Linked DNA regions of Caenorhabditis elegans. The protein of the gene in region 4 purifies or fractionates together with the protein of the main gene of each other region. This does not show direct contact. Each region holds a gene or a part of one and is shown on either strand. Other genes may lie near its edges.

Region 1 (7,099 bases), 1.8 Mb from region 4:
TCCTCATCATCAATGGTTGTCTTCTTGCTCTCCGTCAAACTTGAATTTGAATTGATTTTTATCGATTTTGTCGTGCTCATCGCTTCGAGGAAGAAACGAGAGTATGAGAACTTGTGATAAATTTTTTTGGATTTTTTAGAAGAAAAAATCCACGGTTCAAGAAGGGCGGTCAACACGTTTTTCAATGGTTTTAAAAACTTCCAGAAAAAAAAAACATTATTTCCTGTTGAAAACCAATTCAGCATTTACCAAATTCCAATTTCAACATCCACGCTGTATGTGAGCTTGCAGGGTGGAGCTCGCTTGCATTGTTGCTTTTTTCAAGTTTTTTCTTGAAGTCAGGAAGAAACTAGTCATTGGAAAAATATGAAAACAAGCCGAGCTCATTCCATCTCACCAAGCCCTAACAAAATCGCGCGGCTCCAAATTGGAATTCCACAAAAAGTATATTTTCTGAAATTTCTATCCCATGATATTTGTTATTTTGGTTCCATCAAAGTGATTCTGAGCAACCTTCATTTCTTCAATTTTCAACAAAAAACCCGATTTTCAATTCCTTTTATTGCCAACCAAAAAAACTCAATATAAAAAACCACATTAAAAAAGAGAAAATTAGACAATTCTACAATAATTCTACATAATTAACTCCTTATAATCGTTATACGACACAATTTTGCGGGTTTTCGGAATAAAAAATATCTTCCAAAGTGGCTCATCTTGACAGTTCATGTATTTTCTCCAACGAGCTTTGATTGTGAACCAAGTGAAAGGTTTACGAGATTCAGCGTCCGACTTTTGAAACTGGAAATTCTGAATTGGTTCAGATGTTGCCAATTTGATTACCATTTTCATCGCCATAGTTAATCCAAATGAAATGATTCCTACGTAGACACCAACAAATCCCCACATAATCCAATGAAGTGTTACGAAAAGGAAAAATGCGAATTTAACCATAGTGTCTTCGGCTGGAATTTGAGAAGTTAGAAAGGTTCAAATGCATCAGACATACTTCCTTGAGAACGTGTAATCAAGTAGTAATATCTATTAAAACAATATGGAGGCCAGCATTGATCATCCGGGATTGCAGTTAGTTCTTTACGAGTCTGAAGGACTAATAATTTACTAGTTTAAGGATAGGCAGGCACAAGGCAGGCACCAAACCAACCTCTATCCATTTCATCCAAAACGTTGTAGCCATCAAGAAAAAGAGGCCCGTTGCAATTTGAAGATAGAAAAGAAAAAGGAAGAAGTGGCTCTGATTGTGTGCTCCAACACATTGTCCAATATGAGGGCAATGATGATCCATACGGTAGATACATTTGTCACAAGCTTTACAATGAGATGTTGATGGACCTTTCCAATTGTTGCATTTGATACAAAATGAGTCACTGGGAGTCTGAAAAGTTTGATTTGAAATTTTAAGAAAAAAATCTCAAAAAGGCTCTACAATTTCTAGCTTATTGAGAAATGACTGTAAAACAAAGAACGTGTCGATTTACGTTCTTTGTGTGTACTCCTCGTGGAGAAATGTGTATTACAGTATTTGTCTCAAATGCTTGATTTCGGACGACCGTTTATGCTTATGACGTCATATCTTTGTTTTTGGAGGCTTACCCCTGGATTCACAACAGGTGTCAGAGTCCGGGCCTTGTAGTAGTGAAAAACGACACTGTAGTAAATGTAGATAAGGAGCACAAAACGGAACACGAAGAACGACATATTTTGGCATTCGCTGAAAATACACTTCTTTAACTATTGTTAAATAGAGTTTCAGCAAGTTTATCATGCCTGCCTGCCTAACGCCTACTTTCTTTTCCATTGGCGTGGACTTTTCGCGGTAGGCACTCATGTTGGTGCCAGAACCGACCTAGAGGCAGGCAGGAAGGCATTTCTTGCCTGAGTGGAAGATTGAAGGTTTCACTCACTTCCATTCAACTGGTATCATCTTGAAGATTACCACATATGTAACATTGCAGAGTGTGCCCACGAAAATCAGCAGACATAACTGAAAAACTATCATTTCTGCCTTTCTCTCTGGTTGTGCTTCCAATTATCAAAAAATCTCACACGTCCACCCCACAATGCGACGAGCTTCAATACATCAAATGGGTCGAATTTCGAGATATCGCCCAACGATTTTTCCACCAAAAAGTATACTGAAAAAGGGTGATCATCGATATTTAATATTTTTATTGTAATTTTAATTCTCTGCTTAAAGGCGCACAGATTTATTTGAGTGGGTCTAGTTGCGATCAAAAGTTTATGGTAACGCGTTAAATTCCATGCTACCGTAAAGTTTTCGCGGCAAGACCCATCCAAACAAGCTCATTTTAGAATGTTACGTCTCGCAACTGACCTATCCGATTGAAAATCCTACAAACATCCATAATGCAACGTGGAGGAGATAACTCCCGGAAGATCAGGGAATAAACGAAAACTTGAAAAATCGATTTTGAAAGGCCGCCAAAGGGCGTGGAAATAAATTTGAAAAGGGTTCACGTTTAACATTATTTTTATTTTAAATACTTCATTAGATACTTTCCATCAGACAATATACATTAATTATTATTTATTTCATTTCTTAAGCTCAATTATCTGCTCCCCGCACTGAAATCCGACTGGAACGCCGTCATCGTCAAATCGGAACCGGCGATACAGTTTATCCGTCAATTTGTCAGCTACCAGTGCTTTTCCACCAATCGGACATTTGTGATAAACACGGCCGCTTGAATTCATTGAAAGTGATGAGGGCTGAAATTTTAGAATACAGATCTGAAAAATCTGTGCTTCATCTTACTTGAAACGAATGGTAAATGGTTGATTGCCCGATTCGGAGCTCTTTTTCAGTGGAGTCGAGTTCCGTGTAAACAAGTGGAGTGTCGTCGCATCTCAGAAAGTTTCGCTCAATTCCACAAAGGCTTACCCACGGGAATGTATCCTGAAATTTCATATAATTTTTTTTCAGCTCCCTCCACGATTTTTTAATTGAGTATTTAAGCTCAATTCAATGGATGAAACTTTAATTAATTGCATTCGATAGGAATTGATCGAAAATCTAGAACACTTTCAGATTACCCAGAAACGAAATTTCAACATTTTTGAAGTGAAAAATACGGTACCTGGTCTCGACACGACAAATATTTGTTAAACGAGAAAAGGTGTGCGCCTTTAAAGATTACTGTAGATTAAAACTTAAGATTCTGTCGAATTATTTTATAGAAAGAATTGGAAACATCAATAAAAAAATCCGGCAGAAATCACAGTTTTTAATTACAGTACTCTTTAAAAGCGCACACCTTTTCTCATTCAACAAAAATTGTCGTGTCGAGACCGGCTACCGTATTTTTGTTGATAAATCGCAAATTTCGCGTTTTACCTCATATCTTCCCGTCTTGTTTTCCTTGATCTTTCTGTAGAAGAAATTAAGAAACTGAATATCTGAAATTTCGATTTGTTAACAGTTTTTCCTGTAAAATAAACCTTTATAAGCCGCTGTAAAATTCTTCATTCTCGAATCGTCCAGAAATAGGAAACCATTGTGGCTCACATAGTAAAAATATTCTCTGAAAACTCAAATTCAAAAAGAAACAATTAATTTAAAAATAAAACCTTATTTTTCCGTTATACTGCCCCTGTGTGTAGAGACTTCGTGCAAATGTCAGTATCATTTCCGAAACTTAAAAAAGTTAAATTTTGATTTAAATTAATTTGAAAAGAAAAGCTGACTGGTAATATTTCCGTTTCTCATAAATTCATATTCAAATCTTTATAAATCAATCAAACAATCTACATTTATTCACTTTCTGAATGGAATAAAAGAACGCAACATGAAAAAGAAAAAAAAGTTGTTACGACGGAATAAGAAAACTCAACACAATTCGTTCTAAAAAATTTCATTGAAAAAGAAAAGATTGACAGCGTAGAATTAGAAGAGACGGAAGTCGGACTTCTTTCCTTGATCCTTGTCGAATTCTGGGTCTTGTGAGACCTGAAAATATAAAATTTTAATTTTCGATCCAGGATTCTCTCGTAGCTTCTTTTTTAAAATTAAATCTTGAAAGAATATTTACCTTCTTGTAGTATTCCCAATCCTTGGACAATGGCTTGTCACCCTCGAGTGCTGACTTGCTCATTTGGAACTCATATGGTGGCTCATAGTTCTTCTTGTCTTGATAGAACATTCCCTTCTTCCAGAATGAATAGTCAAACTCTCCATTAGCAAGTCGTGCTTTATGATCAGCAAGCTTAGCTGCACGCTCATCCATAATCTCTGGATGACGTCGTTCCCAGATCATTCGATGCTTCTGCTTCATATAAGCATCACGAACATCGGATTCTCCTCCCAACTCTCCGTATTTCATGAAGAAATTCAACTCATTCTCTTCCATATCCTCAATAACCTTGGCACATGGTGAATGATCAGGATTGTTGTAAAGCATACACCGATCAACACGTTGGCGGAGGGTTTGCAGAATAAATCCATCGACCATTTTATCAAGACGGTACTGCTCATTGGCTTCGTAGAAGCAGGCCTTGTCGTTCACTCCGCATTCGTCGATTTCCGGAACACGTGTAAGTTGACGGTGATAGTAGGGTAGACGGTTCTTGTTGTTGAGTGGTTGCACAATAGTCTCTGAAAAGCTGACGAGTTAGTAGAATAGATTAAAATGGATTGTTTTGCCTAGTTGATTTATTATGTGGAACTGCAACTACTAACTGTACATCAGCTTGAGGTAGTCGAATAACTTTGGTTTTTTTCTAGTTTAAAATTATAATTTACAGCAATGATATGGGAATTAGAAATTAACCTTTACTTGCACCACAAGTTCCCAAATTTTTTGAATCTGGATAAAACCGTAGACAGTATCAATTACTTGGAATTAAAACAAATGGTGAAAGTAAATAAACTTGAACGAAATTTGTTTTCTGTCAATTCTTACATTTTGTAAATGGTTTTAAATCTAATTTCAAAGCTGCTTCTTCTTTAAATGATTCTCCAACTTGAGAATTTTAAAAATTACCTCTGAACCAAGTTGCTGGGGCGTCGAAAGCCTTATGGGCATAATAACGGAATCGTGGGTAGATGGATCCTCGTGAATCGATATCACGAACTTTCCAGTAAGCATCCCAAGATGCTTTATCGTCAGCTTGACGTTGCTCCACTAAGCCTTCACCCATACTGAATGTCGAAAATTTTCCATTGTGAATTGAGAATATTGAGTAATAAATATTAAAACAACGAAGAAACGTTGAAAATTGAAATATTACATAGAACAAGACGATAAATTAAATTTTTAAAAAGTTCAACAACAAAAGGAAAAAAAAATCAACAATAGCAGGAATTACACTGAAAAATTAAAAATTGAGATAAAGATTCTTAATCACTGACAGATCGTGTGTAATTATTCTGAACCAGGGTGATAAGCTCATCTTCGTCAGTGATAAACTCTGATTTATTGATAATATCGTGAATCTTGATAATATCATCAGAAGTCGAAGCACTAATCCAGATTCTTCCGTTCATTCCAACAGTGATTTCGAATTTGAAGAACTTGCCAACAGTTTGAAGAATTTTGCAAGATGGGTTGATTAGTCGACGACAATGATTCAAGGAGACCTATAATAATTTTTAAATTTTACAATAAATAGTAAATTTCGTGTCTAACTTTGAACATGAATCCTCCATTTAGCTGTCCCATTCCACGTGCTCGTTTCTCGTCATCCACACAGGTAAGCTCTGCTTCAGTTCTTGGAGTTGTGTCGAAAACTGTTGCATAAATAATATCTCCAGTTTTTAGATTCGGCCTATTCCTTTTAGTAGCACCTTCGAAGTTAGTAAAGTTGATCATGGCGTATTCGGCAGTTCCTATGTCCAAACGAAAGAAATCACCAGTTTTTGAAGTGACAATAGCGATTACTCGGTCTCCTTCCTGTGGTATATATCTGAATTTAAGAAAAATTGTGATTTTAAATGTTGTTCGTGATCATTCTTACCTTTTGCTGTGAACATTTAACCAGACTTTTCCATCATCGTTGTGGAAAGCTCCAGGTTGAGTGGCAATTCTCGTTTGGCCACGTACACTAATTCCGTAGCCAATGATTGAGGAATCGCTTGAAGAAGGTTCATTGATAACGTCGCCAGGGAGATATACGGTCATTTCTGAAAATTGAATACTCAATGATGAACAAAATAACGTTTTAAAAAGTAGTGGCGAATAGAAAAACCAAATTTAAATACCGCAGGAGGAATAACGTAATAAGCTACGTTAATAAAGTGTTTTCAATGAGTATATTAACTGAAAATTGTAAATTTTTGCAATAAAATTAATCAAAAAGTGATAATATTTCGCAAAATAAACGGAAAAACTAGAAAAATAAGAAATAAAAATGGAGCGGCTGTTGAAAGTCTGCGACTTGACGTGACGGTGTTTGCGGTGTTGTATACCGTACCCATTGATTTTTATTTGATATGTTGGAAATTGCAATTAATATTAATTGTCAAGGACTAAAAGAAAAATAACACTGAAAACATAAATGCGTGGCAATTTTTTAAAATAAATATCGACACGTACACCGAGAAAAATTTAGTTTCAAATACAGTTCAACTGAGTTTTTAGTGGTCAAACTGGTTTGTAAATGGTATGTAATATAGTTAGGTTTTTTGAAGTTAAAGTTTTCCCATTCAGCTAGTTGTTGTTCTTTCCGGTATTATTGCCACGTGTCTGGCCGTGAAGCAGACAGATTTTTCCGTGCATATCAAAGGACAACTTGTGTGTGATGATGTCCCTGCTGCCAACATGCCAATGGACATTTTTTCTGAAGCACAAATGTGTAAGAGAGTTTGAAATCGTTCAACTGAATCTAAAATCTTTACTCTCAGTCAGATACGAAGATTTTATGGATCGATGGACAAACGAGAAAGGAGAATTTGATTTCAAAGCCTATGTGACAACTGATGCTTATATGATTACTCCTTATGTCGTTATCATTCACAGATGCTGGGAATCTAAAGAAGTTCCACATCGTTGCGATCGGAAAATCGTCCAACCAATCCCACCACTCAATGTCACTGTTAACTCGAAGACTCCTGATGAGAAGA
Region 2 (8,666 bases), on a different chromosome or scaffold from region 4:
GCATTTTGGAAATATGAGAATTTCAATTCTAATCGGCAAAAACAAAAATTGGCAATTCGCCGGAATTTAAAATTTCCGGCAAATCGGCAAACCGGCAAATTGCCGGAATTAAAATTTGCTTGAAATTTCTAAATTGCAAAAATAATTAAAATACCAAAATTTTGCAGAGCACTTCAAATTAAAAAAAAAAAAACTTCACAATGAAATGCAAGTTTTTAGGTTCAAATCAATTTCAATCTTCTCAATTTCATCTAAGAATTTCACTCAATTGTCTCACATAGACATTTACACTGAAAAGTGCGGACAGGTTATCAAAAAGTCAGTCAAAAGGACGAAAGCATTGGAGGTGCGTGATGAGAAGAGGCGACAACGACCACATAAATGATTTGGCAGTTTAGTCCCGGACGGGCGCCATCGTCGAATTTTAATTGGTTCCGTTGTCTCTGTCGAAGTGAAGGAGATGGAGATGGATGAAATATTGAACAAAAAATGAAAAAGTTGGTGAAATTTAGATTGCATTTAGATAGAGAAAATGAATATTTTTGGGTGAATTCTACTTCAAAAATTTCTAGGAAAAGTGTGTGTAAATACGGATAATAGGAGTTTTCAAGGAACACTGTCTAGGGTCAACTTCTCAAAAAAGAAAATAATAATATATTTTCAGAACCAATTTTAGAAGGACAAACTAGCTCAATTTTCGAGGTTTCTCGGCAATGTTACAGGCTTTTTCTTAAATAGAACAAAAATTACGCTTTGAATGGGAAATGCACCAAGAATTGGTGAAAATCCTCGGGGAGTACACGAGCTGCGTAAATCGACACGAGGTTTTTTATAGACTTTCATGGTTTTTTTTTTCAAAGTTGGGAATCATGAATCACACCAAATGTTACAAAAAAAAAGTATGTGATTTCAAATTTTTAAATTGAAACTATTTTCTCCTTTTGAATTTTTTTGTCAATATTCAAAACAATATTCAATTTTTTCAGCAATTTTTCGGGAAAAAACATTTAAATTTTTTGGCATTTTTTAGTGGAATTTTTTTGTTTTCTGCTACCAACAAATCTTAAAAGTATAAAAAATTTTATATTTTTCTCGCTAATTTCAACTTTTCATCAAAAATTATTGTGTATTTTCAGCAAAAAATTTATTTTTATTTGCTGCAAATTTTGCTGGATTTTTTTTTTGGTTTTTTAAACAAAATTTGATTTTTTTCAAATTTTTTTTTATCAATAGAGTGATTTTTCTTGGTAAATTTAATTTTAATTAAAAAATTTCAATTTTCTTAAATGCGATTTTTTTTCCAAAATTTTTTAGCAAGAGAGTAGTTTTTCTTGGTAAATTGTATTTTAATTATATAGTTTTAATTATCTAAAATTCAATTTTTCAGGTAGTAAAATCCAGTTTTCTATACGAAAAAGCAATTGAAATTTTTTTTTCAAAAGCCACTGGAAGTTGACAAATTCGGCAAATTGCCGGTTTGCCGGATATCAGATTTGCCGGAAATTTTTAGAAGGATTTTTTATAAGACGGAACCCTGAAAACTGTGCTTTTTTGATATTTTTTCCTATTTTTTTATTTTCATAGAATTTGCTTATTTTTTCGGAGTAAACATGTAAAATTGAGGCAATTTTTAGGTAAATTTTTTCCCGGAAAATTCAAAATTAAAGAGAAAACCGCACCTTGGCTCCGAAATAAACATCTCCTCAATCACAAAGAATTCCGAGAGATCATCCATCGACACATATGAGAGTTGATGCCTGAAAAAGAGCCCAAAAATTGGAGTCTCTGAGACTTTCATACATTTTCCGCTTCATATATTTCTTACTCGCGGGGATCTATCCACCAAGTTGTTCAACAAATTTCAAGAAACAAATATTTTGGATAAATTTTGTTGGAAAAAAAACTCTGGGGGTACACAATGAAAAACAGAAAATGATAAAGAGATAAATAACAATTAAAAGTGAATCCTAAAGAAATAAAAAACAAAACAAAAAAAGAAGAAGAAAAATCCTATTCACTATTAAAAGATAGAGTACCGAAATCAGATTCAAAATGTCCCAAAACTTTCGAATTTTATAATGAAAAGTTCCGAAAATTTCTCAAAAAAAGGTTTTCGCAGTTCAAAGTTATGGAAAAATTCGTATTTTCAGCAAAAAAATCAATTTAAGGTTTTTTTTTTGGTTTTTAATCTAAATTCGATTTTTTTCCAAATTTATTGTTTATCAAGAGTCGTTTTTCTTGGTAAATTGTATTTTAATTATCTAATATTCGATTTTTCAACTAATTTTCTACACCGAAAAGCCTAAAAACTTTCGGAACTTGTTGTTTATTTAATTAACACCTTTTAATACATAGTTTAATTAATTTAGATACATTTTCAATTGATGGGTGCACAAATTTTATATAATTTTGTGCGCTCTCAACGAGTAAACGCGTAATATATTACTAAAATATGCATTAAAAGGAAATAAAATTAAAAATTAATTCCGCATATTGATTTTTGTTTCGGTTTTTTTCTGAAAAATAAATCAAAAATTCTGATTTTCTTTGAAAAAATCAAAAATTCTCAGATTTTCTATGAAAAAAAAATTGAAATTTGTTTTTACTTTCCCGGAAAAATCGAATTTTTTAAAAATTTTCTCCGAAAAAAATCGGAATTTATTACATTTTCTCAGAAAAACAAAATCGAATTTTTCAAAATTTTCTCAAAAAATCGCTTTTCTCTGAAAAACATCGAAATTTTTTGAACCACCCTAAATTTTTTTTTTGAGAAATTTTCAGAACATCTCATTGCGAAATTCGGGTTAAATTTCGGTACTCCACCTTCAAACAAAAATTTAAAAAAAAATTAAAATTAAAGAGCATTCTGAGCAGCAATCTGTTCCTGTTCGTGAAGTTTGTGAACCAATTTCTGTTTTTCCGTATTGAAATAATCAGCGAACCACTTCAAATGTTCCCGCTTCTTCGCTGCTGTCATATATGGATTCTTGGATAAACCAACACAAACCAAATGCATAAAATGAGCAATTGGACCAGATTTCGGGATACCCAATGATGGTAAATGTCTCTCCAAGAATACGTGATCAATGAATGAAACATTCGATTCATCGCCCATTTTGAACTCATTATCGATTGGATATTCCCATTGTTTTCCTTTTGTTGTCCATTCGATTTGTTCTTCGAAAGAATTTGTTGGTCCGAATGAGCCGTTGGAAATTCTGAAAAAAAAACGGTTTTTTTAAGGTGGATAATGGATTTGAATGATCAAATAAGTAAAGAAAATTATAACATTTTTCTACATTTTTCCAATTTTTCTTTCAATTTTTCAACACAAAAAAATGCCAAATTTCATGAATTGATTGACTTGAAACATTTTCTATTTTTCGTTTTCCTTTTTTGAAAATCAAAAAAAAATTGTTTCTCGATATTAGTTATTTTTCCGATGTTTCAATTTTTGATTTTTTTAATTAGCTGAATTTATGATAATTTTTCTTCTTTTTAAATGACATTTTTATGTTTTTCATCATCAATATGAACAAAATTAGATAAAAAATCGATTTTGATGGTTAATTTTCTGATCCAATTTTTTTTTGGATTTTTTAGAAAACCGGCAAAATTTCGTTAGTTTCCGTGAAAAAAGGAAAAAAATATCGATTTTTATATAATTTACATAAAATTTCAGACAAAAATCACGAAAAAACGATAATTTCAGCCGGAAAATGCGAATATTTAAAACAAAATTTTTTTACAAAATTGAAAATATCACGCAAAATTTAGAAAAATCTTTCAAAATTTTTAATACTTAGTTTTTCTGATAATTCACTAGTTTAAGCTAAAATCTTCGTTTTTGTCAACTTTTTCGCACCATAGCGACTGGAAATTGTTTTTATAGAATTATGAAGAAAAAACCAACGAAACAACGTTAAAAATTACCAAAAATGTGTGAAACAAATCGCTGCAAAACGGAAAAATTGAGAAAATCTGAGATTTCAGCTAAAATTAGCAATTTTTATCAAATTTCGGGATTTTGAGCCATTTGATTTCATAAATATCTACCTTGCAGCTCTTTCATCCCATTGTTTCCAGAAGCCAAGGGAAAAATCTTCATATTTTTCGCCCTTTTTCCAGATTCCTAGAGGCTTCTGATTGAACAATTTAATAGCATCATTGTCAACTTTCACAGGTTTACGAACAGCACTACTAATCAAATCATCCTTGTAAATCTTTTCCATAAATTCCAAGGCCATCGTGAACAACTTCTGATCCTTCTCACTTCTCTCCGTCTCTTCAACTTCTTCTTGTTCCACCTTTTCTCTAACATCATTTAGAAGAGCTTTTCGCTGCTCTTGGAGCTTTATCTGTGCTTCATTGACAATTGTCTCTGATTTGACACGAGCTTCTTCTGTCGTGAAGCCACTTTGAACTGCCTGATAGAAAATCTCTTTTCTGAGAAGAACAAGTCCTCGTTTTTCTTGTCGAAGTTGAGCGGATCTGGAAAAAAAATGAAATTTGTCACGGATCATTGAAAATGGCTCACTTGGGAGGAAGCTTCTTCTCAACTTTGGCATCGCCCGCCACATCGGCAAGAAGTCCGATAAGTGCCTGATCATCGAGCATTTCACTGCTTGCAGAAGCTGCGGCAGCATCAAAACTCGCTTTTTCGTTTGCTACTAATCGATTGATCAATGTATTTTTTAGTCTGCAAAGTTATATTTGAATCTTTTTTATTATTTTTCACCCTACGATTTCTTTTCGGAGCCATTCTGCGGGTGAATATTATTCGCTACTCCTTCAATCGCATTCAGCAAATCCTCATCAATCGCGTCTTTTGCACCTTTCTGGAAGAAACTGGTTTAAAACTTGAAAAATGAGCCGGAAAACTTACACCATCATTTCCATCGCCCGAAGCTGCGCTGGACAGCAATCGAGGTTGTCTTGCACCGCCAAGTCGAACAGCTATTGAGCACAGACTTCTCAGCATCTGAAAAATCAAATAAAAATAATATTAAAGACTTAAAACTAGAAAATATTGACGAAAATTGCTCGAAAAAACAGCGAAAAACTTAAAAAGAAATATTGGCTAAACAACACGCGGGTGCGGGATTTCGGAGTATCGTCGTGTGTACTCCTCTCGGGGTTAGTTTTTTTCTTCTTTTTTTCTCCGTCTGCCTGCATTTTCCCGCATTTTCCCACGCCTTATCGCTATGTTTTTTTTGACAATTTGTGTTCTTTTTGATTAAAATGTTTCTTATCTGAAATCAAAATGTTATCATTAAATAATATGTAATAGGAAAAAAAACAGAAAAAAACAAAACATTTTTTAAAAAAGATTTTTAATTTAAAAATCAGATATTCTAATAAAAAGCCAATAACATTACGCATCTTTTAGAGTTCTTCTTTTGGAATTAATTGCCACAATTTAGATGTCCTCTACCCGGCCCACTGAAGCTGTAAACTTCCGATTTTCTTCTTGCATCCATCTCCAAACAAATTCCCGTAGAATCTAAAAGCGTTCGGCAATTGTTTATTCCTTTTATTGCAAGAGTTCTCTTCTTGCAATGAAATTGATCGGTCAAAACAAAACATGAAAATGTGCTGCTGCTTCCCCCGTTACTCAGCTCTGCGAGCCCTCGAAGCCGCCGGGCGGTGCTTTCTTTTTTCCCCTCAAAAAGTGTACGAAAGAGAAGGAAAAGAGTCCCAGTTGTCCAGTGTACTTGATTCTTTTTTTTTCGCCACCAAACGTCTTCAGAATATTTATTTTTTGTGGAGCTTCCTATAGAAAGCTCCCCTCCTTATTCATTATTCCGTAGGCGGATTAAATTCGAAATTCAACATTTAACCACAAAAATTTGAATATTGAAGAAGTGTGAATTTTCGTCTCACTTTCTTCTTTATTCTTATATCTCTTTTTCCGTGACGTCTCATCTTTCTGCTTAAAATAGAAAAAAAAGAAAAAGCGTTGTCTGTTGGGAAAAAGGTCGAAAAAGAGGCAGTCAGTTACATAATTAGGTTTTTGTTCAGCAGCTATTGGGCTCAAAGCCCTTTTTAGAGTTCTTTTCTGTCTTCACTCTGCAAGTAATCTGCCGTCATATTCATATTTTCTTCATATTTTCTTAGATCTACCAGTTTTCGCAGTTTTTCTTTCGAATTTTTAGCTTCGTTTTTTGTACTGATTGGCAGAAAAAATTTATTATTTCCTGTTTTAAGGATAATTAAAATTCGAATCGCTCTCACAATAAGAATTCTTTATAAAATAAATACTTCTCAGCGTTTACTTTTGCAATTTAAAGCATAGTTTTTCTGGAAATTTAGCTGAAAACATGTTTAAAGGCGAAGTAATTAAAAAAAATTACTCTATAATACTCAAAATGGCCACGAAAGACGTATTAAAATTTTCGACCGAAAACCAAAAAAAATCAACTTTGCTTTCAAACGGGGCAAAACGGAATATTTTCATGAAATATTCTGTTGATTTTTCATAAAATATTAAAACTTGATCGATTTTTCTCATTCTTTAAAAATTGTTTCGCTGAATCTGAGTTGAAATTTTTTTCAGTTTTTTTGGTATCGAAAAACCAAAAAATCTATATTTCCCAAAAAAAGACATCCCTGATTGTGTCCTCTTTAAAATTTCTCAAAAATCGAAAATTCATTCTAAAAACGCGGAATTAACGACCAAAATGTGACAAAAATGTGTATGATTTCTTTTTTAAAAAATCTTTTTAGCTGTTATTTAGGAATTTTAGAAGAAAAAAGAGATTTTGGCTAGATTTTTTATTTGCCGGTTTGCCGGAAATTTTGTTTTTCGGCAGCTTGCCGATTTGCCGAACATAAATTTGAAAAATCGTTTGCCACCCACCCCAGATGCTTCTTCACTTCACCTTTATAGTTTTAGAAAATAACGAAATTGTTCAATTCGAAGAGTTCTACAGTAATCCTAGTAATCCACGCGTGGTCCATTAAGTCTTTCTCATAATCTTCAAGAATATGTGTTATCTCTGTGTTACATCTATTGTAACTCGAATGAGACTCTTCAAAAGCTCCTCAATTATTCGACACGACACACACATTCTTGCTCCGTGGAGCAAGCTCTTCCTCATAGAGCAGTCGCTTCCAATTAGAAGCTCTCTCTCTCGAAGAGCTCTGTATGATAAACGTTGTTTGACGCACACAAATGTGAATTTCAGAATTTCAAATTCATGACTGCTTCGTCACCAGTCACTCAGCAGAGGAGGCCCCTCTCGAACAAACCCTCGTGGGAATGGTTTTTCTTCCATTTTTCGGGAGAGAGAGAGAGAGAGCTGGCTCGCTTTCGCCTTCATTCCGAACATTGCAAACATTGACCGATCCGTTTTTCCATGACTTATTGTCTTTTGGCATCGATTACGCAACATTCCGGTCATTCTCTTCGGCGAAAAACATAAATTTTTGGCAATTTGCACTTTCTAAGCTTTTGAATTAAAATGAGTTAACATTTTTGGCATTGTCAATTTTTTAAAGAAAGAAAATTCGACAGTTCTCTTAATCTTTTCCAATTCGCGAGTTGCCGAATTTTAAATAGTCGAAAATGTTTCGAAAAAAAAATTTTTGACATTGCCAAATTTAAAATGTTTTTTTTTAAAACTTTTTTATTAACTTTTAGAACAAATTTTAAAACTTTCGGCAACTGTCGATTTTTGAAATTTTCAAAAATTCGATAATCTCGTCAATTGTCGCCTGATTTTTTGAAAACATGAGGAATCTTACTTTTTGTTAGGTACTCGTAAGTGTTTGTACAAACAAATATGACTCAATGCGGGCACTCCTGACACTGCCCTGCTGTTCCAATATTTTCAATTGTGCGCAGTGTTTCACATATTACAAGCCAAAATGTTACAAATTAGTCATTTCGTCAAGCTACCTGTTTTATTCCTAATTTTTCTGAATCATGGTAGGTAATTGTTTTTCTGGTTAAAAATTATTGCTTTTATAGAAGGGGTGGGCGGCAATTGCCGTTGGATTGCAAATAAATTGCAAATTTTTTTGTGGACAAATTCGGCAAATTGCCGGTTTGCCGATTTGCCGGAAATTTTTGATTCAGGCAATTTTTGCTGATTCTGAAATTTCCAAAAAAAAATGCGCAAAATCACAATTTGCCGTTTTCCCACCAAATTGGCAATTTGCCGATTCTCCGGAAATTTTCAATTCCGGCAATTTACCAGTTTGCCGGAAAAATCGTTTGCCACCCACCCCTGATTCTTATAACGATTTGCCGGAAATTTTTATTTTCGGCAAATTGCCGGTTTGCCGATTTGCCGGAAATTTTGAATTCCGGCAATTCGCCGATTTGCCGGAAATTTTTATTTTCGCCAAATTACCGGTTTTCCGGAAATTTTCAATTCCGGCATTTCGCCGATTTGCCGGAAAAAAAAATCATTTACCACCCATCCCTGCATTAAATTTTTTGGAGAAACTATATTTTCCTGGGCTCTTTTGTATTGTTTCAACTCGCGTATCGTATTCCTCCGCTGTAGAATTCCGCCAAGTGGTCACACCACTCAAGTGGGAAACTGATCTGATAATAAGACACTCGATGCACTCATAGGCTTCTCGTTATCAGCAATTTATGATAACATAACCAGATTATTCTGTTGATCAAATATTTGGGTCTCAGTGGACCATTGTAC
Region 3 (7,525 bases), on a different chromosome or scaffold from region 4:
GATCAAAGCGTTCTTTTCGTGTACTCAACCATTGCCAAAGATATTGATCTTTCTTGTGAGACTCCGAAAGTCTCGTATCTAGGTGTGAATCTATACCGGAAAAGGGATGAACAACGGAAGTTAATTTTACAGTCTATAAGAAGTGACAGGCGGAAATCCAAAAGGTAAAGATTTCAATAAATCCTTATTACTGTATATTATTCTGTTAAAACAGCTGGCTCTTTTTAATCATTCGCGAGCAGGTGTATAAATTGGACACTCCCTTTTTCAAAAATTACCGCCTCGTTGGACAGTTCTCCCCCGAAAATCTAGACTATTATGAATTGACGATCGCCTATGCCTCTTCCGCCACAATATTATCAAGAATGTCCTTAATTTGGATTGATTATTCCGAGGTATTCGCGGTGCGGCGCTGAGATGTTCACTATCATAGGACAAGTATATACAAAGAAAAGGAATTTGATCGCGGTAACAAAGACTGAAGACAAGATATGGAGTCAAAGAAATGTTTCGCTAATTTTGAACAATAGAAGAACTTACAAGTCAATTCTAGTAAAACAAAATGTTCAGAAAATATATCTACTTTATTTTTAAAATAGCCCTCTAGACATGTACTTTATCAGCAGTATCATCAGATCAGCTGGTCCACATAAAAAGTACGAAGGATCAATTGGGAGTAGAGTGATGAGATTTGGACGGAAAACAGCTGGTTTTGAAGGAGGAGGGAAACGAACATGTACACATTGACAAGAAGCGTGTGAATTGGTTGACGAAGAGAATTGGATGAGAAGAGTAAGAAAAGAGAAAGATGTTCAAAAGCATAAGCAAAAGGAAGTAGCAGCTTGGGAATGGCAGGGGACCAACGTAGTGCTCAATTTGTTGTCATTGTTTAGCTTTTGAAATCTCGAATGTATTAGAAAAGCGGACAAGGTGACATTCGTCGGCTAGGCTCAATAAGAGAAATATCGACAAAAAATGCACACACATTTCCTGCATTCGAGTGGCACCAAAAGGAGGTGCTGCTGCAGTTGCCGATTTGACAAACATGGAAGCCAAATTGACGAGAACTAAAAAAAGGAGAGAGGAAGGTATTGAGGGGAGTGTTGGGAGCACCGACGTGTGAATGAATGACTGCAGCAGCTTGAACACCTGTCTGGTACACCTGGTACCGGATATGGATGTCTCGGAATATTCCCAAGAATAAATTATCAGGAAATTACTTAGATGTCGTATTCGGATGTTATAAATGGCTCAGGAGGACTATTAATTTTCAATTGCAATGTTTTTTTTGTTGAAAAATTATTGCTAATTTGGAAGAAAAAAAGTGAAAGCGGTTGACTGGTGTCCATCCATCGAACAACAACTATTTACATGGAATGAACCCGACCGATAAGAAGGCTGCGCGCGCGCCGCCGCTTCTCCTCCGGACGATATACGCGCATCCCTCTGTGTGTGTTAGAACAAACAGTGTATCCTCCTTCTTGGCCGGACGGAGGAGAAGAACTCGTCGTCGTTTTTCACTTTTTCACCCGGATTGTTGGGTTAGAGCACGGAGAGCAGGAGCAACATGCGGTTAACAAGCTCGTTAGGACGGTCATTTCGGCGACTTCTCGTTTTTGTGGCGAGTGGAAGAAAACCAACATAAAAAAGTTCGAAAGAAACATGTGAGAAAGTGTCTGAATTTTGAGATAGATTAAGTCTAATTTGCGGGAGAGAAGTGTATAGATGGAGCATCTTCAGGAAATCGGAAAGTTAGAATTTTGGAAAGAAGAAAAATAGAGTTAGAAAATAGAAAAATAGAGTTCAGGCAAGGGAAATAGTTTGAGAAAAATAGATATTCGTGATGATAATTAACATCAAAATAATTTAAATAGAATTCGAAGTAATTGAATTTGAATTGCAATTTTATCACAAATATACAAAAAGAACAAAGTTAGCAAGAGAGCATCACAGGAAAGAGAACACAGGCACGTATTCGGCAAGGACTAGGTTTCGAAATTAAATTTCAAACAAATATAAGAATTGGATCAATTTGAGCAATTGTTATCGTGTCTGATGGATTGGTACATTGTATAACACAGAAGATCCTGGAGAAACACGACTAACAAGATCTGCATCCGACATTCCCGATGAAAGAAGACGTGATCTTTGGCCATGTGGATCTGATAGACGAGCATCTGAACGAAAATAATATAATATATTTCAAGGAATACAGAAAATCTTACATTGAATAAGACGCCTCGTTTCACCGCCACCCTGAATGTAGCTGGCAGCATAAAATAGAGCTGTGAGCAGCAATAATGTTCCAAAAGTGATCATAATTCCAAATAAATCACGATTTCTGTCTTGTTTTTCAGCACATTTCCACACATCATCCCATAAATGAATTGTATCGTTCATCGTAGTCTCCACGTCGACACAAAAATCTACATCTGGAGTTGTGTAGATTTTCCAGTAATATCCAAAGAGTTCGTCAAAGGTGGTCTTGCAGAGATTACAGATTTTACTTCCATTGGTAAGATTATCATCCAGTACACCTCCAGATGTGTAATTAACAACACAATTTCTCCATTCATACATTCTGTTCTGAAATTGCATTGTCCTCTCACTGAATGACACTTCCGATTTGTTTTGCGGAAAATTCCATTTAATTGTTATGCAGGCTGAAAAATGGGAATTTATGATTTTTTTTGCCGATATACTCACAGTCACATCTGGATTTTTCCCAAATTTCTGAAGTTAAAGCTTTTGATATATCCGTACTGTACGAGAGCAGATAATTGTCATAAATAACTTGAGAGCAAGTTCGATTATCCAGGGAGTAGACATTATTCTGTAATAAAATTCATATTTTATGTGAAGACGGTTTTAAAAAATATTGTTTTCAAATTATACTCACCAGGTTTTTTGTTTCATATTCAAATTGTTTGAAATTAATGTAGTTTTGAAAGCATTTTGTGCAAACTACAGGTGGAATTGACCAGTTTGTGGCGCATGCTACCATTTCCGATTGTACAACAGCTAGTTTCTGAAATAAAGATGTTTAGTTGCATTAAATACTTCGAAGAATCTTACTTCCACATATTTTTGACAGGGTCCATCCAAATCCCAAGGATCATCAGTGATCGGCGCTGTTTCGAGCCGCTCTTCTCGAAGAGAAATCACGGAAAATATAAGTAAGCTGCAGAAAAGTATCCTTGAAAGTGAATTTACCATCTGCAAAATAATTTTTATTAAAAAGAAAGCATTTTCTAGCTTTAATATAGTTTTAAAACTAAAATAAACAAACAAATAAATAAAAAACAAAATAAATGTTTGCCCGTAAATCCACACTCAAACTATAAACAACATGCACTGCGTTATTTCGGAGTCTCGTTACAAAAAATAAATAGTCACGTCCATTATTGTCTCATGTTTTTCAACAAATTTCTTTGTATTTACATTTTAATTTCTATTAAACTTTGATTTATTGAATAAATCTCAGATGTTGGCCCGTTCGGCTCGTCTTCTGCACTCGGCGGAGCTCGCCGCCAACGCCATTCGTGCTGCTTCGGGTACGTTTTTTAATTTTGGTAATTTTCCATCAAATATGGTACTTCGTGTGGAATACTAGAAAAATTAAATATAAATTATTTAGGAAAGCATTTTTTAACGAGAAATATTAGGCTTTACCCGAGATTTCACAAGGTTTCGTGTTTTGCACGTAGGCAGCACTTTTTCAACGTTACTATTTTTTAATAAGACGACAATTTTTTATGTTCAGCTTTATTTTGTTTAATTATCTTTGAATAATTTTTCTAACATTACATGAAATTGGATATGTCAGAAAATTATATTATGTCTTCAAAAACTAAAATTTTCCATTTTACACGTAGGCACTGAAAGCTGTAAAGCTCGGTCGTGTTATTAGATGAAAAACGCAGATTTTTTTTTAAAAATCAAATACTGTTCCGTAAATATTAACCATCATTCAAAGTTCTGTTAATTTAAAAATATCAGTTTTGGAATTTCTTGAATCAAAATTTAAAATTCAAAAAATTTGAGAAAAGGGAATTTATAAATTTATAGCAAGACTTTATAATAAACAAAAATAATGTTTTGAAAAACGTTTTTTTAATTTTGTTTGAGCTCAACGTTGCAAGAATAATATTTATCCCTTAAATTCACCATTTTTAACACTATTTTATTGGAACTGTTTCAGGAGCGCCAGCTACTGCAGCGGCGGCTGAAGCCTCTTTTCCATCAACTGATGATGTAGCCGCCAAGACCAAGAAGACCGGAAACCGTATCAAGACGTTCGAGATCTATCGTTTCAACCCAGAAGCACCAGGAGCCAAGCCAACTGTGCAGGTTGATTTTCAAAGTTTTTTTTCTTTTTTTAAAATTTAATAGTTATTGTAGAAATTCGATGTTGATCTTGACCAATGCGGAACTATGATTCTCGACGCTCTCATCAAGATCAAGAATGAGGTCGATCCAACTTTGACTTTCAGAAGAAGTTGTCGTGAAGGAATCTGTGGATCCTGTGCCATGAACATCGGAGGTCAAAACACTTTGGCTTGCATCTGCAAAATCGATTCGGATACCTCAAAGAGCACCAAAATCTACCCACTTCCACATATGTTCGTTGTGAAGGTATTGTTTTAGAATCTAAAAAAAACGAATAAACCTTTTATTTTAGGACCTTGTCCCAGATATGAACCTCTTCTACGCTCAATATGCCTCTATTCAACCATGGATTCAAAAGAAGACCCCATTGACTCTTGGAGAAAAGCAGATGCACCAAAGTGTGGCTGAACGTGATCGTCTTGTAAGTTTCAGTATATTTTCTGGTGCAGAAGTATTTGAAAAAGCATAACATAATTTTTAACTCAAAAAAGTTTTAAAATGAAAAACATTCATTTTTTCAAACGAAATAAAAGTCTAAAATCAATAATTTATTCATGATTATCACAACATTATAAAGTAATTTATATATTTAGGATGGTCTCTACGAGTGTATTCTCTGTGCTTGCTGCTCCACGTCATGCCCATCCTACTGGTGGAATGCTGATAAGTACCTCGGTCCAGCTGTTCTCATGCAAGCCTACAGATGGGTCATCGATTCTCGTGATGACTACGCCACCGAACGCCTTCACCGTATGCACGACTCTTTCTCAGCTTTCAAGTGCCACACCATCATGAATTGCACAAAGACATGCCCAAAAGTTAGAGTGTTCTCTGTTTTATATCTCGACTTAAACGAATTAATTTCAGCACTTGAACCCAGCTAAGGCCATCGGAGAGATCAAATCGCTGCTTACTGGATTCACATCGAAGCCAGCCGCTGAGCCATCAGCATTTTAAATAAGAAAATTCCATTGTTTTGCCTAGATTCGATGTAATATTTAGCTCTGGTTGATCGATTGTCGCTTCTTTTCGAAATACCCGAATTATCTATCCCCGTTTTCCGATGTCTATACCACGAGCCTCCTCTTTTTGCACAATAAACGGAATTGGTAGATAACTGTAAAAATTTCGTTTGATTAAAATATAAAAGTCCCCGAAAAACATTGCACAATGAACATTCATTTCTATCAATTCAACTCTTCCTAACCTTTTCGTGTTCTTTACTCTACCGACCCAATCTGAAACAAGTATGATCCTTTGTGTGTGTCTTCCTCTCCCAGGGTCGAGACAAAAACATAATTAGTTCGATAATATGATACTGACAGGTTGGCTTGACAAGTAAGATGAGAACAGGAGGACGGAAAATTAAGACGGAAAATTAATTACGGGAAGTTAGAAAACATTGAAACTACCCGGATGCTGAGAACAAAATACAAAGGTTGTAAATATTGACAAAATTTTTTGATTTTCAGTTTGAAAAACCTTTTTTTCTTTTGAAATTTCCCATGTCAATTGCAAGAACTTTTCAATTTTCTGCTTTCAATATGTTTTCTTCACTATCATAAAACTACTATCATAGATCTATTAATTTCTTAAAAATTAGAAAAAAACTTTCGTATATTATATGTACAGACTTCAAATTTTGTCATTTTTGCGCCGAAAATACGGTATCCGGTCTCGACACGACATATTTTGTGAAATTTCAAAACGAATGCCCTTTAAAGAATACTGTAGTTCCAAACTTTATTTTCGTAGATTTTTCATAGATTTTGATTCAAAAAAATATTTATTTATTTAAAAAGGTACTGTAGTTTTGGCGCAAAACACGGGTACGGTTGCAGAAAAGTTCCGCTCGTGCCAAGACCCGAGATAGTTCGATTTATTCGGTTTATCAGTTGAGCGATTCGACTCATAATTTTTTAAAGTACTATGGGATTTGTGTATTTTTACCCCAAATTGAAAATTAAAATTGAACTTGATATGTATGTATGTAGATCAAATTTTCATACTACTGTTATGGAAACATTGGAAGGACGTGGAAACGGAATTATTATTTCTCTATAAAGTATTGTATTTATGAATAAAGGTTTTAATCACAATTTCTCGTACAATCAAACTCCTCATGTTCATAAATATCGTACAATTTTGTTTTCTTGGTCCATAATGTTTTATAATATTACGTCATGTGCAATTTCATAAAGTTATTCGAACTCTTACATTCAATTATCAATTTTGGAAACAATCTGTCACCAAAAGGCAAGCCAAGACTCTCTGGGGGATCACATAACTTCATAAACTCGCCAAATTTCGTATCTTCAAACTTGTGTATCTTGAAAAATAAACGTCTAGGAAACAAATACTCAACTGATAAAATGTTTAAAAATATTTTATATATTTTTTGCATTACTTTACAGTTTTCAATATTCAAACTATTTGTTGAGTTACACAGAGTAAAAGCCATTTTACCAAAAATCACAGGAATTTTTGAGAACTCTTCTGTTGTACCAGTCATAACTCAACATCGATTGAGTTTCAGAAGTAAAATGTTAATGAATAATAATTGCAAGATATTTTTCCACATTTTATCAGTTAGAATTTTTTTGATATTTTTATGTTCAGCCAAGTTACAGACCGTTTTTCGAAAAAATATCGACTTGAAATTTTGAACAATGATCACTTTTTTGAGGTTTCTACAATGTCCTAAAAAATCTTTCAAAAATGTTGGCTCATCTCCAAAATCGTCCTCCGCTCTGAAAAAAGAAAGTGGACCTTTGCCTTCCGAAAAATGGACGAAAAAATGAAATTGAGCTTTTTTGGTCGAAAAAAATATTTTTAGAATGCTGAGAACACGTTAAACACGAATATCATGTTTATTTTGAGATCCGGATGTTCTGAAAACGTCTGACGTAGATTTAAAAAAGCATCGATTTATTTTCATTTTCAACGTGAAAGTTTTGTGCAGCTTTTAGATTTCAAAAGAATCTCAAAATTTAGAGTTTTGAGATTCTTTTGAAATCTAAAAGCTGCACAAAACTTTCACGTTGAAAATGAAAATAAATCGATGCTTTTTTAAATCTATGTCAGACGTTTTCAGAACATCCGGATCTCAAAATGAACATGATATTCGTGTTTAACG
Region 4 (6,040 bases):
AGATGAGTGGAGAAAGAAGGGAGAAGACCTCTCCCGTGAAGAGGCAGAAGCCGTGCTTCGCAAATCGCTTGAACTTACTCTCTACCACGACTGCGTCGCTGACAATGAGTTCGAAATCGGACGTGTTGATGCGACAGAAGGTGTCGTTTTGGGTAAAGAAGAGAAGATTATTGGTGACTGGTCGATTGCCGAGACTAACTGTCAATATGAATAAGTTTTCCCCGGTGTGCAGGATGCGTTTCAGTATCTCCATGTTTAACTTATTTGTATCCTTCTTTTCAAAACATTTTACTCTCTCCAACCCACGTTTTCGGTGTAAATTTTATTTATTTTCGCGTGAAGTCGATAAATAAACTTCCATTTAATCCTTCTATTCACGTCTAAGTATTCACACGCATCATTTCACAAGTGCTCGAGTCAAAAATAGCGAGCATGAATTTCTCTGGTTTAAAAAGTATGATGAGTTTTTGGTTTAAAGTAAAATCGAGCGCTTTCAGGTAAACTCCAAAAGCTCAGTTTATCACCATCGCCTGATAAACAGAAATCTGATTATGAAAAGAAACAGGCGAAGAAGATGAGCTACAAAAAGAAGATGCAGCAGCGGTATAAACTGAGTGATGATCAGTATGAAACTCACAAGTAATTAAATAAATTGATGTATATGTAATAACTTATCTGATTTGGTTTCCAGGAAGGATGCTCAGAAACAACTGAAAAATTGGGAAGAATTTCGAAAGGAGCAAGTAGTTGAAATCTTTCATACGCAGTCTCAATACGTTTCGAAATCGAAAAATTCAGACGTGGTAAGCATACAGTATATATATATATATATCTCGCCGCGCAAAGGAAGTGCTTAATTACGGTTTTTACTATCCATCTAAAAAGTTAAAAAGAAATACATTATTTCTTGAAATTCAGCGCCATCCAAAGATGCAACGAGCCAATACGGTTGTCAATCGTCAAGGAGTGAAAGTTGATGTAGAATTTGGACGATTGAAAGAATACTACTTATCCACTTTGGCTCCACAAAAAAAGTTTGTGTCGATTCGTGATCACGTAACATAGAGATTATAGAGAAATTTACTTTAACCATGAACTTTAGGCAGCTCGTGAAAAGGAACTGGACGCTCTTCGTAAGAAACAGAAAATCAGTTTGGAGCAAAGGAAAGATAAACAGGACAACATAAAAAAGTCCCAAGCAGAGTACGATCAGATGAAAAGGTTTCAATGGGTCGAATGGTTTTATGTAGAAATTATCATATTTTAGCTTATACGCTGCCCCTGTCGATCCCAAGCAAACAAAAGTGGAAACAATGGAGCAAAAAGAAGTTTTAGAGCCAACAGCCCCGATGGAGAAATTCGGTAAAACTACGAAACAATACAGAAATCGGAGTGTTTATTTTCAGTTGTGAATACCACTGACGACAAAAGAGCCCTGTTCCCAGCCAGTTGGTATCAACAACCGATTTCCCGTTCGCAATTGAAGAAAGGAAAGATGATTTATTGGATGGCAAAAGACGAAGAGTAATTTTCGTGGCTTGCATCCGTTGGATCTTAATATTTGAATTTCAGAGAGGATATGACGTTGGACGATGATCCAGAGGGAAAGTACACGGTTACTGCTGAAAAGTTGATTGAGACAATGACTGCTGGGGGGAAAGTTAAACATGCTGGAATAACAGAACCACCTAGCAACACAGCAAACACCATCATGTCCGAGTCCTTGGCATCAATTAATGCGAGATACAAGAAGAGTTGTGAAAGAAATGCTGTTTTCATGAATACCTTGCACGGTACTATTGAATTCAACAAGAAACAAGTATCTGTAGATAAAACCCTCTCTACAAGTTCAATAAGCCAGGATGATGCGACCGAGTAAGAATTTCGAAACTGATTTTTCTCTAACGAGTTTTATTTTTAGCGCTCCGAATCAAATCATTTTTGCTCCAACAATCACTTCTCATGTTTTCAAAGGCCGATCTCTGAAAAGACAGTATGCAGTGAAAAATAAGGCACTTGAAACTTTTGAGGAAGATCGGAAGGATTACACTCGAGAGGCTGGAGAAGAAACTAGTGGATTGTAATTTTTTGTATTGAACTAGAAAAATAAAGCCTTAATTTCTTTTATCTAACAAACGTTGAAGAAAAAACACATATTTTCACAAATGAATATGCTTATCGATGTATTAAGCTTCGAGGGCAGCGAGTCTCTTCTTTTCGGCAACCTTAGCCTTTGTATCCTTCGAGACATAATTGGCTGGAACAATGTACCCGAAAATGTAGCGACGTCCAATCATTTCTCCGACAAAGAACCAAAAGACTACCTCGAGGGCAACTGCCGAGTAGACGAGACTTTCCTGAAGTTATTTTTTATTGAGTGTTGTTTCAGCGTGTAACAAATTACCTTGATACTAAGGTTGACATATTGCTTGGTCTCAATAAACTTCTGGAGCTTAGCCCAGTCCGCCTTGATAGCTGGGATGTCAGCAGACCGGGGTGGAGCCAGCTCGTGCTTTCCAACAGCCTTGAGAATAGCGAGACGGCGTGGGAACTGCTGAGCTTGATGACGGTAAAGAGCTCCAAAGGTGTTGGCCAACTTTTCGAAGAAGCTCAGCTTGTGGGTCGCCATCGCTGAAAATTTCGAGTGTGAATGAGAGAATGTGTTTCGAAATTAATAAGGCAATAAAATTGGGAGACGAGGGAATCAATTATTGAATAGATCATTAAAATTTATTTGTTCCTTAAATGAAACTTAATAGAAAGGGAATAATGTTGCCCATGAGTGCTCATTCATTAAAAAAATCCCCCAAAATACAAGCAGCCCGTTTTAATCAAGACAGTAGTATATTTGAATCGTGGTGGGACCCTTTAAGCAATCGAGAAAGAAATCCTTGGTTTTTTTAATTCAGCGAGGCTGTCCGCAGTTGAGCGGCACGGTGTTTGCGGACTTTTACAAACCGTATCTCATTGAGTTCCAAGGCGCCGTGGAAATTTTTTTTGTTTTAATTTTCATGAATGATTAGATTAATTAATATTAAGTCAGTTTTGAACGGTATTTTTGTTCAATTTTCTATAATACTTTCAGATGATAAATCTTCGAAGATTTGTGCACACATCGTGTCGGCTGGAACGAGGAAGAACAGCGTTCTACAACGTTCATCAAAAAGTGGGTGGAAAAAAAAACAAAACTAGCCACAATTTGATATATCATTTTCAGGTCACCGACCCAGCCAAGCAAGATCCGGATTACTTTGAGAAAAAAGCGAGAGAACTGCCACTGGGTGAGTATATTCAAGTACCGAGATATATATCTCTATTAAGTGATTTTCAGATCAAAACTACATCGATGCACTTACGAAGCTTTACTACGAAAAAATTGGCAGTGAACGCGATTTGGGTTTGAAAGCAGCTGATAATTTGGTATGATAATCAAGAGTTTTATAGATATAAGCAATATTCTTGCAGATTCTCGAAAAAACCGAATTCGGATTGCCTCGTATTGAAAAATCGAAAACTCGTGCGAAATATGAAGATTTAGATGTTCTTTCGAATGCTCCAGAGTCTGTCAAAAAGATTTTTAGTGTTGAAATGGCGACGAGAAAAGAGTTGTCACAAGAATGGAAACAAAGTCTTATCAAATCAGTAAGGCAGCATTCTCTCGATGAAAATAGTTTGGAAATGAAAAGTTTGTTTGAGAAATAATCACAAAATATTATCTAAAATTAATTTCAGTTGCCTGGCTAACGGCTTTAATTCGGCATTGGTCTCTTCTTGTTAATGACATTGGACAGGAAACCAAAAAAGTAGTTTAACATTTTAAAAAGGCAATATTTCTAACATTTATTGCAGAAGCCAACATGGCTCACCCATCGAATCTGGCTCGTAATCAATGAACGCCGTAAAGCTCTTCGTATTTTACGTGAACGTAATGAGACTGCATTCGAGAAAACAATTGCCGCTCTGAAAATTTCGTATCATGTACCGAAACAGCCAGCTCATGTGAAAACTAGAAAGGTAAAGTTTGCAAATTGATAACTTTAAACACTAAAAAAACAACAAATTTCAGGCATGGGCCGAAGCACAATTAAAGTTGAGAGTTGAAAATGAAAAAGAGAAGCGATTGGAAGAATTGCACGAAAAGTACGATAAAGAAGTTGAAGAGCATAAAAGAGAGACACAAGAGAAGAGGAAAGCATTGAATAATGAATTGGATAAAGTAAGCAAAATATACACTTTGAAAATACCCTTTTTAAAACTAATTTCTGAAACGTTTCAAATTCAAACGAAATTTCAGCTTGCTCAAGAAATGCGCCAAATTGACGTTATCGAAGGAAAATCGTTTGAAACAGTTGGAAAGTATGAACCAGCTTTAATCTCTTCACTTACTGAAACTGTTATTCATTCAAATCTCTTCTATCATCCACCACCAACTATGACTGAAAAATAATCTCATTTAGAAGTTCAGAATTTTTTTTGTTGTAGTAGGATCTTTCTTATTATTGTTATGCTATTATTGAATTAAAATTTATTATCCCTCCATGTTTCTATTATGATTTCGTTAAATCGGTTGTAAATCTTCCGAAACTTTCTATCTATTTGAACGATGGGAAAGAAAACTTGCGAATTAAATATAAAACAGTTCTTCAGATGTCCCGCCACCGTGCTATTCGAAATTTAAATTTAGAAGATGGTAAGCTTCAAAAAAAAGAAACCGAAGATTAACAATTTTGTCTTTTCAGAAATGGACGACGATTATGACGACGATTACGACGATTATGAAGATGAGGAGAACCCGGAAAGTAAGAAAAACTTTATTTTTCATTCAAATAATTAATTAAAATTTTCAGAGCAATATACATATGATCGTAATTCATTATCCACAAACTACTATACATATCTGACAGATAGTGGTCGCAATTCACCAGCTCTTCCTGCTCCACATCCTGGTATTCCATCATCATCGTATCATCCACCTGTATCAACTCCAACACCTACTGCAGCTCCAACAACTTCCCTATCTTCTACTATTGTACGAAATATGACAGCTCCATTGCTCCATCAAAATCAAAAACCACCGAAGAATCTTAATAGTCGACCGAGTACACCACAAACGTCTAGCAATTTGAATACTCCAAAAAGAACGCCGCAAGTTAAAAATGTGAGCTCGAGAATACTTTAAAAAATTCAACTGTAACTTAAGTTATCACGTAATCCAATACGAGAATTTTCTTTGAAAGCATCATTTCGCATCTTATTTATATCTTATATATACTAATTTTTCAGCTTCAAGCAGAATCAACAACTCCAACTGTGAGCCGCCCATCTTCTGAAGTCGATTTAACATCATTTCGACGCAATCAACTGCAGAACATCGCGAAAGCTCCGTCAGTTGCCCGAAAAACACCAAAACCAAGAGTTGCTGATAAAGATTTAATTAACTTGATTGTCGTTGGACATGTCGATGCAGGAAAAAGTACTCTCATGGGTCATTTACTTCATGATGTAAGTTATTGAAACTTTGAAAGTGTCGTCAAAATTTTTGGTAGAACATGAGTGAGTGTCAAGAATGCACACTTCGAAACTTTTCAGATTTTTCAACATTTTCAGTCATTTATTTATCGTTGAGTAGTTTCAAGCATTGCTGCAGTCTTGAACCCTGAAAATGATTAAATACGAATAATTACAAAGTAATTGAAATCTAAAGCCCTTAAAATCGTTTTATTGATGAATGAAAATCAGGGCGGACTCCGAAAACAATTATTTTCCGAAACCGGAAACGAAAAAGGTATTCTCGACAAAAACACTCAAGTTATAATTTCGAGTGTTTTTTTTGGATAGTAACACTGCCAAATTTAAGAATTCGTCAGTTACTTTATTGATCTCTTTTTTTTCCGAAAATATCTAAAAATAAATTTTCTTCAAAAGCAGGAAAAAAACGGAAACCGAAAAATGTACAGCCCTGATGGCAACAACAGTAAAGAATTTCCTTTTTTTGACTGTTACTTAAAACATTTTTAATTTTTAATAACTTATACTTCGT

What was found.
Region 1: the proteins of asg-1 (region 4) and ndub-10 fractionate together in Caenorhabditis elegans (co-fractionation; one large-scale study listed by BioGRID). This does not show direct contact.
Region 2: the proteins of asg-1 (region 4) and mrps-31 purify together in Caenorhabditis elegans (affinity purification with mass spectrometry, with the first as the bait; one large-scale study listed by BioGRID). This does not show direct contact.
Region 3: the proteins of asg-1 (region 4) and sdhb-1 fractionate together in Caenorhabditis elegans (co-fractionation; one large-scale study listed by BioGRID). This does not show direct contact.

Annotation. Positions count from the first base shown.
Region 1 is NC_003279.8:10,517,440-10,524,538, reverse strand, and holds ndub-10 (NADH dehydrogenase [ubiquinone] 1 beta subcomplex subunit 10), read right to left. Parts: upstream 5,180-7,099; 5' UTR 5,179-5,179; coding exon 5,022-5,178; intron 4,634-5,021; coding exon 4,071-4,633; intron 3,989-4,070; coding exon 3,926-3,988; 3' UTR 3,778-3,925; downstream 1-3,777. Other genes in the region: F59C6.3 (uncharacterized protein), read right to left, coding at 1-80; dhhc-12 (Palmitoyltransferase), read right to left, coding at 634-801, 844-965, 1,010-1,103, 1,166-1,396, 1,615-1,732, 1,926-2,005, 2,068-2,156, 2,357-2,387; UPF0598 protein F59C6.12, read right to left, coding at 2,575-2,751, 2,798-2,938, 3,377-3,438, 3,481-3,563, 3,610-3,668; exos-3 (Exosome complex component RRP40), read right to left, coding at 5,378-5,617, 5,667-5,943, 5,995-6,158; nlp-4 (Transthyretin-like family protein), read left to right, coding at 6,637-6,639, 6,687-6,831, 6,881-7,099.
Region 2 is NC_003281.10:3,625,386-3,634,051, forward strand, and holds mrps-31 (Small ribosomal subunit protein mS31), read right to left. Parts: upstream 4,988-8,666; 5' UTR 4,982-4,987; coding exon 4,886-4,981; intron 4,839-4,885; coding exon 4,744-4,838; intron 4,700-4,743; coding exon 4,538-4,699; intron 4,492-4,537; coding exon 4,057-4,491; intron 3,219-4,056; coding exon 2,855-3,218; 3' UTR 1,849-2,854; downstream 1-1,848. Other genes in the region: sel-8 (Protein lag-3), read right to left, coding at 1,680-1,735.
Region 3 is NC_003280.10:9,348,691-9,356,215, reverse strand, and holds sdhb-1 (Succinate dehydrogenase [ubiquinone] iron-sulfur subunit, mitochondrial), read left to right. Parts: upstream 1-3,484; coding exon 3,485-3,554; intron 3,555-4,201; coding exon 4,202-4,350; intron 4,351-4,401; coding exon 4,402-4,635; intron 4,636-4,681; coding exon 4,682-4,810; intron 4,811-4,982; coding exon 4,983-5,207; intron 5,208-5,256; coding exon 5,257-5,346; 3' UTR 5,347-5,502; downstream 5,503-7,525. Other genes in the region: cup-15 (Coelomocyte uptake defective protein 15), read right to left, coding at 2,044-2,177, 2,226-2,663, 2,707-2,833, 2,900-3,028, 3,076-3,216. UniProt on the Caenorhabditis elegans protein: Iron-sulfur protein (IP) subunit of succinate dehydrogenase (SDH) that is involved in complex II of the mitochondrial electron transport chain and is responsible for transferring electrons from succinate to ubiquinone (coenzyme Q).
Region 4 is NC_003279.8:8,689,537-8,695,576, reverse strand, and holds asg-1 (putative ATP synthase subunit g 1, mitochondrial), read right to left. Parts: upstream 2,632-6,040; 5' UTR 2,630-2,631; coding exon 2,405-2,629; intron 2,358-2,404; coding exon 2,187-2,357; 3' UTR 2,109-2,186; downstream 1-2,108. Other genes in the region: pbs-7 (Proteasome subunit beta), read left to right, coding at 1-214; K07A12.5 (Pre-mRNA-splicing factor SYF2), read left to right, coding at 433-454, 498-639, 692-803, 919-1,056, 1,103-1,221, 1,268-1,362, 1,407-1,524, 1,573-1,875 and 1 more; mrps-15 (Small ribosomal subunit protein uS15m), read left to right, coding at 3,086-3,166, 3,218-3,281, 3,332-3,420, 3,466-3,685, 3,733-3,803, 3,850-4,014, 4,067-4,216, 4,295-4,447; hbs-1 (Tr-type G domain-containing protein), read left to right, coding at 4,648-4,690, 4,740-4,799, 4,848-5,158, 5,284-5,502. UniProt on the Caenorhabditis elegans protein: Mitochondrial membrane ATP synthase (F(1)F(0) ATP synthase or Complex V) produces ATP from ADP in the presence of a proton gradient across the membrane which is generated by electron transport complexes of the respiratory chain.